Linked DNA regions of Lytechinus pictus. The protein of the gene in region 1 binds, or shares a complex with, the protein of each later gene. Links are inferred from orthologs where the notes say so. Each region holds a gene or a part of one and is shown in the gene's direction. Other genes may lie near its edges.

The links. Proteins that work in one complex are often made in the same cells at the same time.
Region 2: the proteins of transcription initiation factor TFIID subunit 6-like (region 1) and transcription initiation factor TFIID subunit 9-like are in contact, whole or in part, in a crystal structure (PDB 1TAF), measured with the Drosophila melanogaster proteins. The link is inferred for Lytechinus pictus from reciprocal best matches to the Drosophila melanogaster genes Taf6 and Taf9. Residues at the interface, in NP_524161.2 of Drosophila melanogaster: Gly18, Ser19, Ser20, Ile21, Ser22, Glu24, Ser25, Met26, Ile29, Ala30, Ile33, Val35, Ser37, Leu38, Ser39, Asp41, Ala42, Glu45, Leu46, Asp49, Val50, Ser51, Lys53, Leu54, Lys55, Ile57, Val58, Gln59, Ala62, Gln71; in NP_523391.3 of Drosophila melanogaster: Lys20, Asp21, Val24, Ile25, Ser27, Ile28, Leu29, Glu31, Leu32, Val34, Glu36, Tyr37, Glu38, Arg40, Val41, Gln44, Leu45, Phe48, Thr49, Phe50, Tyr52, Val53, Thr54, Ile56, Leu57, Asp58, Lys61, Thr71, Ile72, Asp73.

The regions. Positions count from the first base shown.
Region 1 is NC_087260.1:23,354,020-23,361,632, forward strand, and holds the start of transcription initiation factor TFIID subunit 6-like, read left to right. Parts: upstream 1-4,608; 5' UTR 4,609-4,727; intron 4,728-4,775; exon of another isoform or gene 4,776-4,896; intron 4,897-7,613. Other genes in the region: acyl-coenzyme A thioesterase 9, mitochondrial-like, read right to left, coding at 4,031-4,071. UniProt on the Drosophila melanogaster protein: TFIID is a multimeric protein complex that plays a central role in mediating promoter responses to various activators and repressors.
Region 2 is NC_087260.1:4,330,397-4,337,456, reverse strand, and holds the start of transcription initiation factor TFIID subunit 9-like, read left to right. Parts: upstream 1-4,033; 5' UTR 4,034-4,044; coding exon 4,045-4,165; intron 4,166-7,060. UniProt on the Drosophila melanogaster protein: TFIID is a multimeric protein complex that plays a central role in mediating promoter responses to various activators and repressors.

The DNA.
Region 1 (7,613 bases):
CTTTCAAGGGGCTGGACAGGAGCAGAGGTACCTCCATTCAGTAATTTGTTGATAGTTCTCCATGGGTTCTCACAATTCTCTTTTAGTTGCTCGCATTTCTCAAGCTGCCACTCTTGAAAGGCCTTCTTGTACTCCACCATGAACTCTGATACATTTCCTTGATGGATAGTAAAGTTGTTAGGTGTTCTCCTTCTCTTGTACGTCTTCTTGGAGAGCTTGCAAAGCTTGAGGAGCTCAGACATTTTAGAATTCCAGAAAGGCTTGCTATGTCTACATATCCTTTTTCGAGGAATCTTTTCAGCTGCCAGGGTTTGTATGGTATCTGTGAAATCTTTGCAAGCTTGGTCAGGATCTGTCATCTCTGTCAGTGATCTTCCCAGATCCTCAAGTTTATTTGACACTGCATCTTCCCATGACCTTTTAAAAAAATTTTAATTACCATACGATATGTAGGAAAGCTGCTCGCAAATGACGTCACAAACCAGATAATAACAATTCTAATCAATTTTTATTCTGATGGATTTTCCTAAAACCTTCGCCAAGATTTTTATAATTATTTTTTCTGCTATTTTTACAATGAACTTTTCAGGGTGAACTTCCCTAAGCCAGGCCTTGTCTAGACTTAGTCTTAGAAAAATTAATCTGAGACTGAGACTGAGTTTAAGATGCAGATGTAACGTTTAGCGTTTTCAGACATCCATAACATCGTACTTACACATATGTTTAACTAAAACACATGTTAAGGCCAAACATTAATCATAGCATCATTCATAATTACATTCGCAACGTTTGTTAAACAAATTGTTACCGTTACGGGCGTTAGTATACTAACTAACCTCGCAATACGTGCGAGTGCCGCGACACTCCAAAATATGGAAAAGGAAACACAATTTTAAACGTATGGGACTGGGCTTCCCAGCGGGCATAACATGATTTATACTATTTTTCTGGGCTTAATTTGAATGCAAACTACTGCAAATACATCAAAATGCATCAAAAGTTTTGCAGATACAAATAATCATCGAAATTACTTACCATAATCGAGTAACAGACATTTTATCCGGTCATTCGCCAGTCGCTTCGTTAGCACATCAATCATGAAAGTCAAGAGCGTCTGCTATACGGTAACGGTATACGACTTGTCCTGTCTACTCTTAACCCTGGATGGTTATTTATTATGGATACTATTGCCTTCATAGGGCTGATCTCCGAAAGCAGCGGAGGGAGAAAACCAGGAAGGAAGGTAAAGCACCCGTTCACACCACGGAAATACGTACACCAGTTGGTTTTAATCCGGGTTGCGTTTCTCGATGATCATGAAAGATGAGCTAGAGAAAGGTGGTGAAGCCAACTAGAATACATTTTAAAAGGTCAGAGGCACTAGCGTACCTACGGGGGGGGGGGGGGCAGGGGGGGCACTCTGCCCCCCTGACGAGTCACAACCCATGCAAAAACGTATCTTTGCCCTCCCTGACGGGCTTGAAAAACCTTTTTTGCCCCTCTGACGAGCTTTAAGTCCTTCAATGCCCCCTGACTTGAAGACCTTTTTTTTTTTTTTTTTTTTTTTTTTTTTGCTTGTTAAATTTTTGGGCGGACGGTTTTGCCCCCCCCTGTGGAAAATCCTAGGTATGCCACTGGTCAGAGGCCTTTTAATACAGAAATCATGTACAATAAAAACAATAGAGGGCCGAGTATTGAACCCTGCGAAATTCCGCATTTTGCAATATTAAGATAAAACTTATCACTACATTGTTTGCGATTACCTAAATAACTTTTGAAAAGATCCAATGTGATTCCTTTAATTCCATAAGAGTTTAGTTTTTTCTAATAAAATAAAATGGTCGATCTTACCGAAAGCTCAGCTGAGATCTATAAACAAGCAATCATAATTTCTTCATCATCTATTGCATGCACGAGTAACTTTCTGAATAAAATTTACCAATAAAGCAGATGTGGAATATCCTGGCTAAAACCATATCATTAGTAGGGTTCAATACATTGCACTTTATGATAAAATTTAACAATCGGTTATAGATAGATACATTTTTCTAATATTTTAGAAAAGATAGCTTGTATACTGCATGAGATAGGTCGATAATTAGACATAATTTCAGAAGGACCCTTTTTTTATGAACTGGAATAACTTTTGCAATCTGTAGTTGACATGGAAATGATCCCAATTCAAAACACTTATTAAATAATGCACTTAATGGCTCACTGCTGATCAAAATAGTTTTTTTTTAATGACCGACATTTCTATACTATATATACCATTATAGCTTGGACTTGTATTTAACAATAACAATATTAATTATTTCAGTGCTTGAAATAGGTCTGAAATATGCAGTTTGATTATTAATAGACAAATATGATTTAAAGTCATGGCCAGAACAAGAAGAAAAGGAACAATTTATATCATAATATATCCCTCTTAATTGTTAGGGACGTATAATTTTATTATTTTGTACACTCTTGATAAGCACATTTTGATAAGGGAATTGTGATGTTCTTGCACACAGGTGAATGCGACTATATATTATAGTCTTTCTGGTGATAGGCCTATACCAGGGGCCGCGGAACGGTTTTCAAAGTGGGGGGGGGGGGGCTGACCATGCAAAAATCACAATCATATGGTAATTTTTACGTTTTTGTACACGGTTTTGGAAAAAAGTGGGGGGCTGAAGCCCCCCCCCCCCCCCCGCTCCGCGGCCCCTGTATACGTCTATGTATTTCTTTTAAATGTTTATATGTTTTTGTTCATCTTGATTTTTCGGATGATCTGCAGAATAACCGATCTAATAATTGTTCATTAAAAAATATTTGAAATTAACAAATGAAAAAAAATCAACTCGACAAATTTCCCAAAACCCCACCTTATTTTTTAGAGTGGTCACAAAATTCGAGCGGAGTTGACCTTCCTTAGCTAGATAGAGCAACACGTTTGTGTGTTGCTGCCCTCTACGTTCGTTTGTCTACGTCTATTACAACGAACGTAGAGGGCAGCAACACACAAGCGTGTTGCTCTAAGGAAGGTCAACTCAATACGCGCATGCAGCTGAGGTACGCGCATATTTTATCATTTATGCCAACGAAATCATACGCCGATCCAATACAACAACAAATTAGTAGCGATCACGAAAACAATATGAAAGAATATGACTACAACGATATCAAAGATAACATTAAAAAATTATGTTGGAGAATATACGTACATTTGAAAACATACGTTGATATTTAAAACTTTACAAATATAAGTTTTAGAAACTAAATCATTACCAAATCGGTGATTGTTGTTATCAGCGATTTCACCAGACGGCTGTATTAAGGCGACCGCACACCTTACGATTGGTCTGCGACCCGATTTCAGAATGAAATGTAGTAGAATTTGATGCTAACATTGAGATTTGGAATATCTTACTGTGTAATGTTCTAAATCATCGTACGAATACCTATGTTCAAATCTGTGACTATGCTATCATCCTTCTTAGAATAAAAGCGAATTTAATATCTAGTCGTAATGACGTCATAGCAGTCGTACGATTGGCTACGATTTGAAACTAATTTGGCCTTTACTCAGAAATAAAGGCTTGCAATCTTTCAAAATGGTTATATTAGTATTCTTTCAATTAATTTAAACCTCAAATTAAATGATATGTTCCATTCACATTTTCAGAAAATGAGCAAAATGCGATTTGTTCCAAAATCGGATCGCGGACAGTCGTAAGGTGTGCGGTGGCCTTTAGGTGATTTGCGTCGAGACGATTTTGTGACCACTCGCAAAGCATTTCGGGATTGAATATGACCACCTTATTTTCTCTGAGCTCTTCGCTGAATCCATCATCACAGTGCAGCTGCAGCGCAGCGCGCAGCCAATGCAATGCATCCGATGCGTGGGTTGTTGTTTTTCGACGTCCATGCCATGGTCTCGGACTCGGAGTTGAAATTTAGACCCGGATTTCGGGGATACAGCGCCTTTATTTCAGATTTATAGACTTAAAAGTCAAATGACAATTAAAATTTGAAATCTAACCTTGAACAATCATCGTTGATTAACATCAGCCCTGAAGCCATTACACTTCAAATCAGGCCAGGCAAATTAGACGTCATTGTCTATGTTGCTAGAAGATCTATGACGAGTCGCCTGAAGCCCCAGCGCATCATCAACGTCACTATAGCTAGCTGCGCGACCGGCCCAGACTCGGCGCACCCAGGCCGGAAAAATGACCTCGATTATTACGGTGGTTGTCTATGCATTTATTAGTGGTGCAGCGAAATTCAGCAGAAGAAAATAACAGATTAGGGGTATCCTCGTCATAGACTTAATATTCCAAAATGAGGAAAAATGTCAAAATCATGATTATTGAAGCTAAATATTTTCTTTAAAAATAAGAATAATATTTTTAATATTTATACCCAGAATAAGCGATCTAATAATTGTTCATTAAAAATATTTGAAATTATCAAATGAAAAAAAATCAACTCGACAAATTTCCCAAAACCCCACCTTATTTTTTAGAGTGGTCACAAAATTCGAGCGGAGTTGACCTTCCTTAGCTAGATAGAGCAACACGCTTGTGTGTTGCTGCCCTCTACGTTCGTTGGTCTAATATAACGTGAAATATACTTTTCTTCTGGCAGCGCAGTGGACCCATGAGAAGAGTTGTCGTTAAAAAAATCACTGGACAATCACTGTCTCACCCGGCTTGAATTGAAGTCCTTTTGATAAGGTGAGCCAAGATTATATAGGTTTACATGACAAATTTATCGTTGCTTACCTGCATAAACTTGAACTTAAAATATTTTTTTTTAAAGTAAACTAACGCCGTGTTGTGTAGTCCGTATCCGGTCCATACACCAGCTCAACCCGTCATGCCCGTGCGTGCGATTCTTATGCATATAGGGCGTAGGGGCAATCACGTTTCTGTGTTTCGATTCGACCGTTTTTTTTTTCTACCTTTGACTTGACTTGCACGTTTGCATAAATTTTGATCACTTACTTCAGTCAATAATAAAAAATAATACTGTGAAGATGAAGTCCTACTGAGACCGACTGAGATGGGAGGCAGTGTAGCTCAGAGTCAGACTCGGTCGGTTAGACTAGTGACTCACTAGTTACTATATGGTGAGACTACCACATATCGACCACCTCTTTTGAAACCGACCACCTTGCGCGCGTTAAAATTATTGCGTATTACAAACGATACGCGCGGGAGAGTAGGCGCAGTGTCCATAGAAACGGTAAGAATCGATTTTACGAGAAAAAAAGAAGCAACAAAAAGTAAAAATTTAGTAGAATTAATCAAAATTGTATTGACCAGACCCAATTCCCGCTGAAAAACCAAGAAGTCCGATAGGAAACGGCTTTAGAACAAATATCCGTCGTCAATCGTCGAATCATGTGCCGGAGCTCGCAGTGGAAGTAGTGAGACGATCATTTAGCATGTTGACATCATAGAACTGATTTGGAAGAGTAAAAATATTTCGCCACCGCGACAAGAATCGGCCGTAAACTTAGTGTATCGCGGGTGGTCGGTTTCAAAAGACGGGTGCAAATGAGCAAATGTAAAATCGTTGTATTCGTTGTTCGTCGATATATACGCGGATTGAATCGGAGTCGCCGAGCGAAACATGGGAATCTGATCTGCTCAATTTTCTGCACAAATGGGACTAAAACTGGGTAAAATTGATGAATATTTTCGCAGATACGATGCTGAGAAGATTAGGTGGTCGATAAGGGGTAGTTCCAACCATACTTAGATTAGAAACTTAGGTCTTAGACTTGGTCTTAGAGCGCCTGTTCCGGATAAGATCGTACTCGTAGATCTCAACGTGCGTGGGTTCGAGTCCCGCAGCATGCCGGAAGACGTCTTACAAAAAAACTGATGCTAGCGTTGTGTGTTAACGTGCCTCACCGCTGTGTTCAGTGCGGGTGTGAATGCAGTTGGAAAACACTCCGTCCATCGGAAAGGACGCAAATGTTGGTCCCGTGTATAGCTACTATAGGAGAGTCACAACCTATTCACGTTAAAACCAATACACTATTCGTCAAAGAGTAGGGTGTTCACCCGGTGTATTGCACCTGCCGGTCCCCGGTACTACAATACTGCAAGAATCTTCAGGATTGAAGGAGGCAGTGTAGCTTGAAGAAGAAGAAGACTAACATGACTAAGAATAAAGATTAAGAACAAGATCGATCGATGCTGAAAGTGAACTGAAAATAATGGAGCTTAAAATTCCCGATGGCGATGTGGCAAGGCCAAGCCAGGGGCAGGGCAAAAGCCAAGCCCAAGGCACCCATGCCATGGGTGCATTACTGCCGCCATGTAGGATGGGGGTCGGGTGTCCGGACACTTTATATTTTTGAAGCCTTCTTTTTTGTCTTTGTTTGGATTACACTAAGAATATGAATTTAATCTAAATTGTAGTCATCTTCTATTTTGTTCTTTATAATATTTCCTAACAGTAACATTTTGTACTAAAAATTGCTGAAACTTCGCTTGTAAATTTTTCCAAATGACTTTCTAAAATTGATCGTCCAACTGGGTGTACAGGAAAAATGAAGGCAAGGCGCATGCAAAATTGCAACAAACTCCTGCAAATTTCAGAAGATGATTCATAAAATCAAATCCTATGAAACTTACCGAACGATGCATGTCATGGAAGTCAATTCCCCCTAATGCATGTAATATGATGAATATCCCTCAAATAGCGTCAATTTAAGCATTGATTTTTCTTCTCGTTGACAAAATACGGAGCTTGCTTCTATTTCCCAAATATTTTTCCGTCTAATTAGCTAGAGAGGGCGCGCGATTTATCCTCATATCAAAGACACTACAATTAATTAATTAATTTAAGGGAAAGACTACTTGGATTTACTTGGATGTTGAGATGTAAAGCAATCTGCTTATGTGCTACTCGTTGATTTTCTTATCTTTGGTAAGGTCTGTACTTCAGAGGATGGTTGTGCCAAAATTTTTCAAGTCTGGATTTGAACTGATTTAGACTATTTGCACAAAAACAGTTTTGACTAGGCACAAAAACTGTATTACACGTAAAGTCGATGCAAGCGTTACGTGAAGTCGGCAAAGTGTCCAATGTGTGTCTCTATTTTATCAAACAATCATAGGAAATGCGCATACAATAAATCAAGGATCTAGTTTAAAAATACTGACAAGCTGAATTAAGGTTGTGAATTGTATTAGCGCCAGTAACGACCTTCCTTTCATTTCCGTGGAAGAGACATGCGAAGCCACTTTCCAGGCCGAGGTTAGCGAGTTTGCTCTTTTTTATGTGCTTTTTATATTTAAAATATTTTTAAAATTGAAAATAGAACGCTTTTCAACAAAAAAAAGCCCTGGTGAGTAGCTGAATGAGTTTCGGCTAACATTATTTGTGTTATGAAGCGATGTTAACTGACATCTCTAAAATCCATTGCGTAAACACGTTCGTAGTGCAAGGTTAGTATAGCATACTTACCTTGCAATACGTGTGAGTGAAGCCAAGGCAATGTTGTGGCTGAGCCTGAAGTGTTTTTACGTAGTTGAATGTTTATGGCAGCTGTTGAGGCTACTGGGGCTATTGAGATGAATAGGGTGTTAAATGAAAGGTCTTGA
Region 2 (7,060 bases), about 19 Mb from region 1:
GTTTTTAGGTTGGAAAATCAAAAACTTTCAGGAATCTAATAAAATAATGCTAGCGCGAAGCGCGAGCATTATTTTATTAGATTCCTATCCTGTTCATGATTTTTATAAAACTGTTAAGAATGTACAGTTTTTAGGTTGGAAAATTACAAACTTAAGCTCGCGCTCGCATCTATTATTTAGTTACATTCCTATTCTGTTCATGATATGAAAAAGTTTTACGAATGTTCAGTTTTTAGGTAATTCCTAGCTATCCTGTTCATAATTTGAAAAAGTGTTACAAATGTCCAGTTTTTAGGTTGCAAAATCAAAAACTTTCAGCTCGCGCTTCGCGCTCGCATTATTTATAGAGGCCTTTCATCTTTAGTCAGGAATACCTCCTCTTCGAAATGTATGTATGTATATATATATTATAATTATATATATATATGTATGTATGTGTGTGTGATGGTGTGTGTGTGTTTGAGTTAGTAACTCTGTAGAACATAACAACGGAAAACTCAAATGTGGCCCCCTTAATTTTAGGAAGAGATTTCCGCCCATGTCCTAGCCTGGATCTTCTGAGCACCTTAGTTAATGGTGAACTCTGCCAACTCTGGTCCAGCAAACTCCTCTGTCTGTCTTATGGACGTTCCACAGTTATGTTTGTGCGCATTATGATCTGCGCATATTTTAAACTCTGCGCGCTGACGTCACAATGGATGAACAAGTGATTAATTAGCTGTGAGTATGAGCTGAATTTTCTCATCATCTGCACTCTAACTGCAGATCCGATGCGTTATTTTATGAAGCTAAGAAAATAGAATTATTCCATGGACCATTTTTTTAAATATCTCTACAATTTCAAAATACTTTACTCTGCAGTGCTGCCAAGAATCACGAATATGTCCCCGAGTTTGAATAAATGGTAGAGTGGTTTTGATTTTTTCCTCACATAGATACAAAGCATTCGACGCATTTTTGGTGTTTTAAAAAGCACATTTGCTCTAATAAAAATGCTGATAGTTTATAAACAAGCACATGAACCCCTATTTTTTAATGTTTGTACTTCTTAGGTATACCTTCCTCTACAACTTTGCAAATTTTGGTGAAAATGACATGGATTTTGAATAAAGTGCAGCATTTATTGTACGTTTGTAGTTTGTTACTGAAATTTTACATTTTTTAGATTGGGATTTTGTTATATTTTACGCAATTTTTAAGAACTGACAGTGCTGTTAAACTTAAAATTGCAAACAAATAGCACTATTAATAGATTCTCAATTCTAACGATACAATTATTAATTCTCTTGCGAAATTTGATGACTTTTTCATGTATTTTGACTGAGTAATGGAGGTTTAAACTCATTGTAGTAATCTTGGGCGGTCTAAAAATGCCAAATTCTTTTGAATGCGCGAACTTTGAAGCTCTATAGCAAAAAATCAAGCACATGGACCTATGTTAATTTTTGCATATTTCGAATATTAAGGTTCTAAAGTATCTATGTGCAAAGTTTGGTGAAAATGACATGGATTTCACTTTAACTGTGGAACGTCCTTAAATGCTGTCCGTGCATCACCTTCTCTTTCCATCCTTCCAATCTCATTTTCCTAGGATCAGCCTTCAGCTTTCGCTGTCATATCCTTTCCTTTCCTCATCGACTCTCTGACAAATAATAGTAATAGTTATTATTGTTATTATTATTATTGTTATTATTATCATTATTATTATCATCAGTGGCGTAGACAGGTTCGTACACCAGGGGGGGATGACTGGGCTGCCAACGCTGTTGAGGGCGCGAAGCGCCCGAGCGAGGGAGCGAAGCTACCGAGGGGGGGGGGGGAGGGTGTGGGAGGGGGGTGTCCCCCCTCCCACGGTAGGGAGCTTTTGCAATTTTGAACTTGAAATCGTGCAATCTGATGCATACTTAATGAGGTAAAATAACACACACAAGCGCGCACGCACACACACACATACTCACCCCCCCCACACACACACACACACACACACGGGTGCGCGCACCACACACATACTACGCCTTGAATGGACAGACATACATCGACAAGATCTACACACCGTGGCATACGAATACAGAATGGACTGACACATAGTATTGCATATTGAACCACACTACGTATTTATTTATCTCTGTGAATTTTGCTGTTACACCTCTTCAGAAAAAAACCCAATGTCAACTGTGTACACGCAGGTATAGTCTTTGTTGTCTTGATATGGGTATGTGGTTATGAATGAAAACAGCCTCTGTGGCCATTTGTGAATAGAACACATAAACAACAAACAAATAACAATATGTCTGTTCATTATAAAGCATAATGAATACGTACATACTATGCTTTTTTTTACCTCAAAGAAACAGGCATAGTATCCATAGATGGATATTGGCTGGCGGCTCATTAACATACAGATACAAAAAACATAAACAGTATCACTATGATCCATGGAGTAACAATACTGCTCTGTAAGTTTGTGAAGAAATCGGAACCATAACGGCATTGCATCGTTTCAAATTAGAGCATTATTTACTTCTATTTGATCTCAGTCTTATAATAGTAATAATAATAATAATAATAATAATAATAATAATAATAATAATAATAATAAAAAAAAATAATAATACTAATACAAATAATAATGCTAATACTAATAGGTTCCTTTTATCTCGCATTTCAAGACAGGGTAAATTCACACTGCGCTTTACATGAAACAAACTTCTTTAAACATTTCAAACTTATGTCTTCATGCATCAATCAACATACTTTAAATGAATACAAAACAAAGTGCATCTTAAATAAAACAAAAATAAATAAATAGTTAACAATACAGAAAAGATGTAGCTGCTGCAAGCTTAACAACAAACTAATGTATACCAGTCAGTCCTGATATCAGTATTAGTGTAACAATAGTCATATAGTGGGAGCATGAAGTTGAACAATTCATGATTATACATAATTATATATGTTTGTTTGAATAATACTTGTTATAAAGATAGTAGTATGGTACTCTCTGTCACGAATTATTATGTATACTGTTGTATCACATTCATTTTCTATTCTGTTTTAGATTGCGCTGATGCATTTTACACACAATGTATAATGCCTATAACACGAGTGGGCCAGACCACACATGTATTTCAATAAAAACCGACTTGAGAAAATAACGTGTATATAAATATATAAATAAATAAATAAATAAATGCATATAATGTATATATATATGTATAAATATCATATACCTGTAATATAATCTGATATAAACTAATAAATAAATAAATAAATATAATACATATCATATATGAGAAGGTATTGCTAGTACTCGGTTCGTGCCTGAAAAGTAGTCTCGATGAAAAGAAAAAAAGTTGTTGCTTCATTCCCATACCAAAAACAGCTTGATTAACAGTTGCTAATCAGATAATAGAGACATGCGGTAAGTTGGTAAACTTACTTAAGGAGCATTCATGGCTCAACAAACAAACATATCGGTCTCTTAGTCAGTTTTACTTTTGTAGTCTTGCAAATTTGTGTCTTAGAAACCAAATATCTTGCGCCTCTTTTCGTTCCTGCCCAGTAAATACTTGTAAGATTTTCTTTTTTTTACCGTCTGAATTGGCTTTCACCGTGTGAATGCGGCTAATAACAATAAACACAATTACAATAATGATGAGGATTATTATTATCATCATCATAATTATTATTATTATTAATATTATAATTGTTATCATTATTATTATTACTATTATTATCATCATTATGACTTATTAAGTAACCAAATATCATTCCCCAAAACCTGGGGGGGATGATTGTACATGCCATCCCCCCCACCTTGTGAGGTGGGGGGGATGCATCCCCCTCATCCCCCCCGTTGTCTACGCCCCTGATTATCATTATTATTTTAATCCTTATCCTTACCATTATTCTATTCATTTGAGTTTATTAAACAAATATTTTGCGGTTTGTGATCGAGGTGGATGATCACGTCACTGGTCGATCAAATCAAAATCGATTGCTTTGCTGCCATCTACGACAATAAGTTATACAGCTTTTGTCAAGATGGCTAGTTCCAACAAAACCCAGCCCCGCGATGCCGAAATTATGACAGCTATTTTGAAAGATATGGGAGTGACAGATTACGAGCCAAGAGTGATAAATCAGATGCTGGAATTTGCATATAGTGAGTATTGTAAATGAAAATGAGTAAGAAATAAACTATAAGTCAAAAATATCTTGAAGAATCGGGCACATCCAGTGCAGTGGCAGTGGGACCATGTCCATGGACTATGACGATTTGCACTCGCGGGCCCCATGCCATGGGGCGCGGTGGGGCCGGGCAGGAGCTATGATAACCCAGGGAGCTCCCGCCCGCGCAGCGGGAGGGAGCCCAGGACTGGCAGGAGCTTACCGTGTATTTGACCATAGTCACCGGACTAGGCCTAGGGTGATTTATGGTCTAAATATTTCTCCAAATGAATTGTGAAAACAGAAAGTATACCACAATTATATGGATGAAGGTCTAACGAGTGGCAGTTTCCGGACATCTGGGCACAGACTGGAACCTCAAAAAAACGAAAAGTTCTCTCCTCTACCCCAGTCCCCAGTCTCGATCGGCCATTTTGTTACGATTTTTAACAAAAATGGCCGATCGAGACGGGGGTAGAAGGAGAGAACTTTTCGTTTTTTTGAGGTTCAAGTCTGTGCCCAGATGTCAGGAAACTGCCACTCGTTAGACCTTCATCCATATAATCGTGGTAATTGTATACTTTCTGTTTTCACAATTCATTTGGAGAAATATTTAGACCATAAATCACCCTAGTCCGGTGACTATGGTAAAATACACGGTAAGCCCCTGGGCTCCTGCCCGCTGCGCGGGCGCTCCCTGGGTTAGGGCTATGACTGAGTATGACGGCGTCCGCGTCAAGGACGTGGACGTTTTATAGTAATAGTGGCAAGGTGCCCCAAGACTGTTCAGTGCCCTTTAGGCTTTAATAAAAAGAAGATACCAAAGACCACAAAATATAGAATCTACACCCCTGAAATACATACACAGATAGGCGTGTTCATTAAAAAATCCGACTCAAAATGGTGGAAAAATATTGAATTCAGATTTCAGGCATTTCAATGTCACACTGGGGTCACGGCCTCAAAATGCAGCCTTTTTTACTTTATCATCAAAATCGTGTGTAACGTTAAAGTAAATGGGTGCGCGGACAAGTCAAGGGGCACCTTCTTTTGTTCAATCTGAAAATGACTGTCCGAGGGTTTTTCCAAGAATTTAATAGAAAATCATATATATTTTTTTCAAATTTTCACGAGATTTTTGGCTTACGGTACCCATTAAGAATATAGATAAGGAACAACATCAACTGAAAACTTTTGTGGAATAAAATTCATGTTTAACTTTAATCTTAAGTTAAAGTTTTAGGTGCGCAGACATGGGGCTCCCCTTCATACTAGTGGATCGTATTATTACCGATTGCTTTTCATGAATTCAATCATATCAAACCAAATATTCTTATAAAATTCACCAAACTTTCACCATAAATGCATGAATACCTAAGTTATAAATAATCTAGAACCTATGTAAAAATTTTTCCAAAATCGTTTTCTTTTTTACGCTATCAGCATCTAAGCCAAGGCAATTGGACCCCTCTTCACAGTCCTCGGCTTTGCATGTCGCCATGTGAACTGAAATCTACTACTGAACATACTGTTTTCTATGGGTGAAGTTGAGAAAGCAACAAAATCGCTGTTGAGCTAATTATTTTTAAAATATTGTATGAGTTTGAGAATAAAGATCTAGATCTGACAAAAGACTTTGAAAATGTATTTTGGACAATTTTCATCATCTTTCTATTCAATTTCTCTTTAGAATGATGTTGCAAAGTTTTGAGGGTATGAAATTATACTCTGACGCATCCTTTAAGTTTGGGACGTTGAGCTCTTTTGTTCCCCATAATCAGACTCTGGGCAGAAGATCCTATTAGGTTATATGAGTGATGCGCGCGTTCTCTAGACTGTAGACTCACTAGACTACTGACTTTACACTATTATTCCTATTAACAATTTTTTTGTTTTCTTTGTAGCCTAATGCTAGGCTCAATTTTTGTACTGCTTTTCTTTAAAATGTTGATCCCTTAATTTGTATCTGATTTATATTTGTATTTGGAATAATATATATATTAATAGTTGTTTGTATGGAAAGCAAATAAGAATCAAAGAATGGAAAGGTGTTTCAATGTGAAAAAGTTCCTTTATGAATGATGCAAAGTAGGTCTAGGCTACACCCTTTCATGTAATTTGCTTCTGGGTCACAATACTCCAGACTTTTTTATCGGATGGGCGAAAACATTTTTCAGATATTAGATTCAGGATTCAATTATATTTAATTGGTTGATGCATTCATGCAAGCTTACAAAGAAATTGGCTTTCAAATGCACAAAATACACAAAAGATGGAGAATACAATGTATCATAACAATTGAAACCTAATTTCAATTTCAATTTATTGACCATTAAAAAAAACATCAAAATATTTACAGAAATAACATGATACCAACAAAATAATACAAAATATAATGGGTAAAAAAAAGGTTATGAATAAACACACACACCCACACATCATCACACAATGCAAAAACAACACAGAAGATAGAATAGAAGATAAGACAAGAAAAAAAATGATAAAATACAATTACATGGGGGGATTGGAGTTGTTTAAATAATTGAACAAAAAATGACTTTGATAGTGACTTAAATCGCGAATGTTGTGCTGTTTTTTGATATCATATGTGAGAGAATTCCATTCTTTCACCCCGATATATCTGATCGAATTACGAATAAAATTAATTTTAGAAAAAGGAATACGTAAGTTGATATGTTGTCTAGTAGGGTAATTATGAATTTGAGAGTTTGAAAGATTGGGGAGAAATTTTCTGGAAGGGTGGCTTTGTGAAATTTAAACATGAAAATCCATGTATTTAAAGGGATGGTCCGGGCTGAAAATATTTATAATTTAATACATAGAGTAGAATTCACTGAGCAAAATGCTGAAAATTTCATCAAAATCGAAT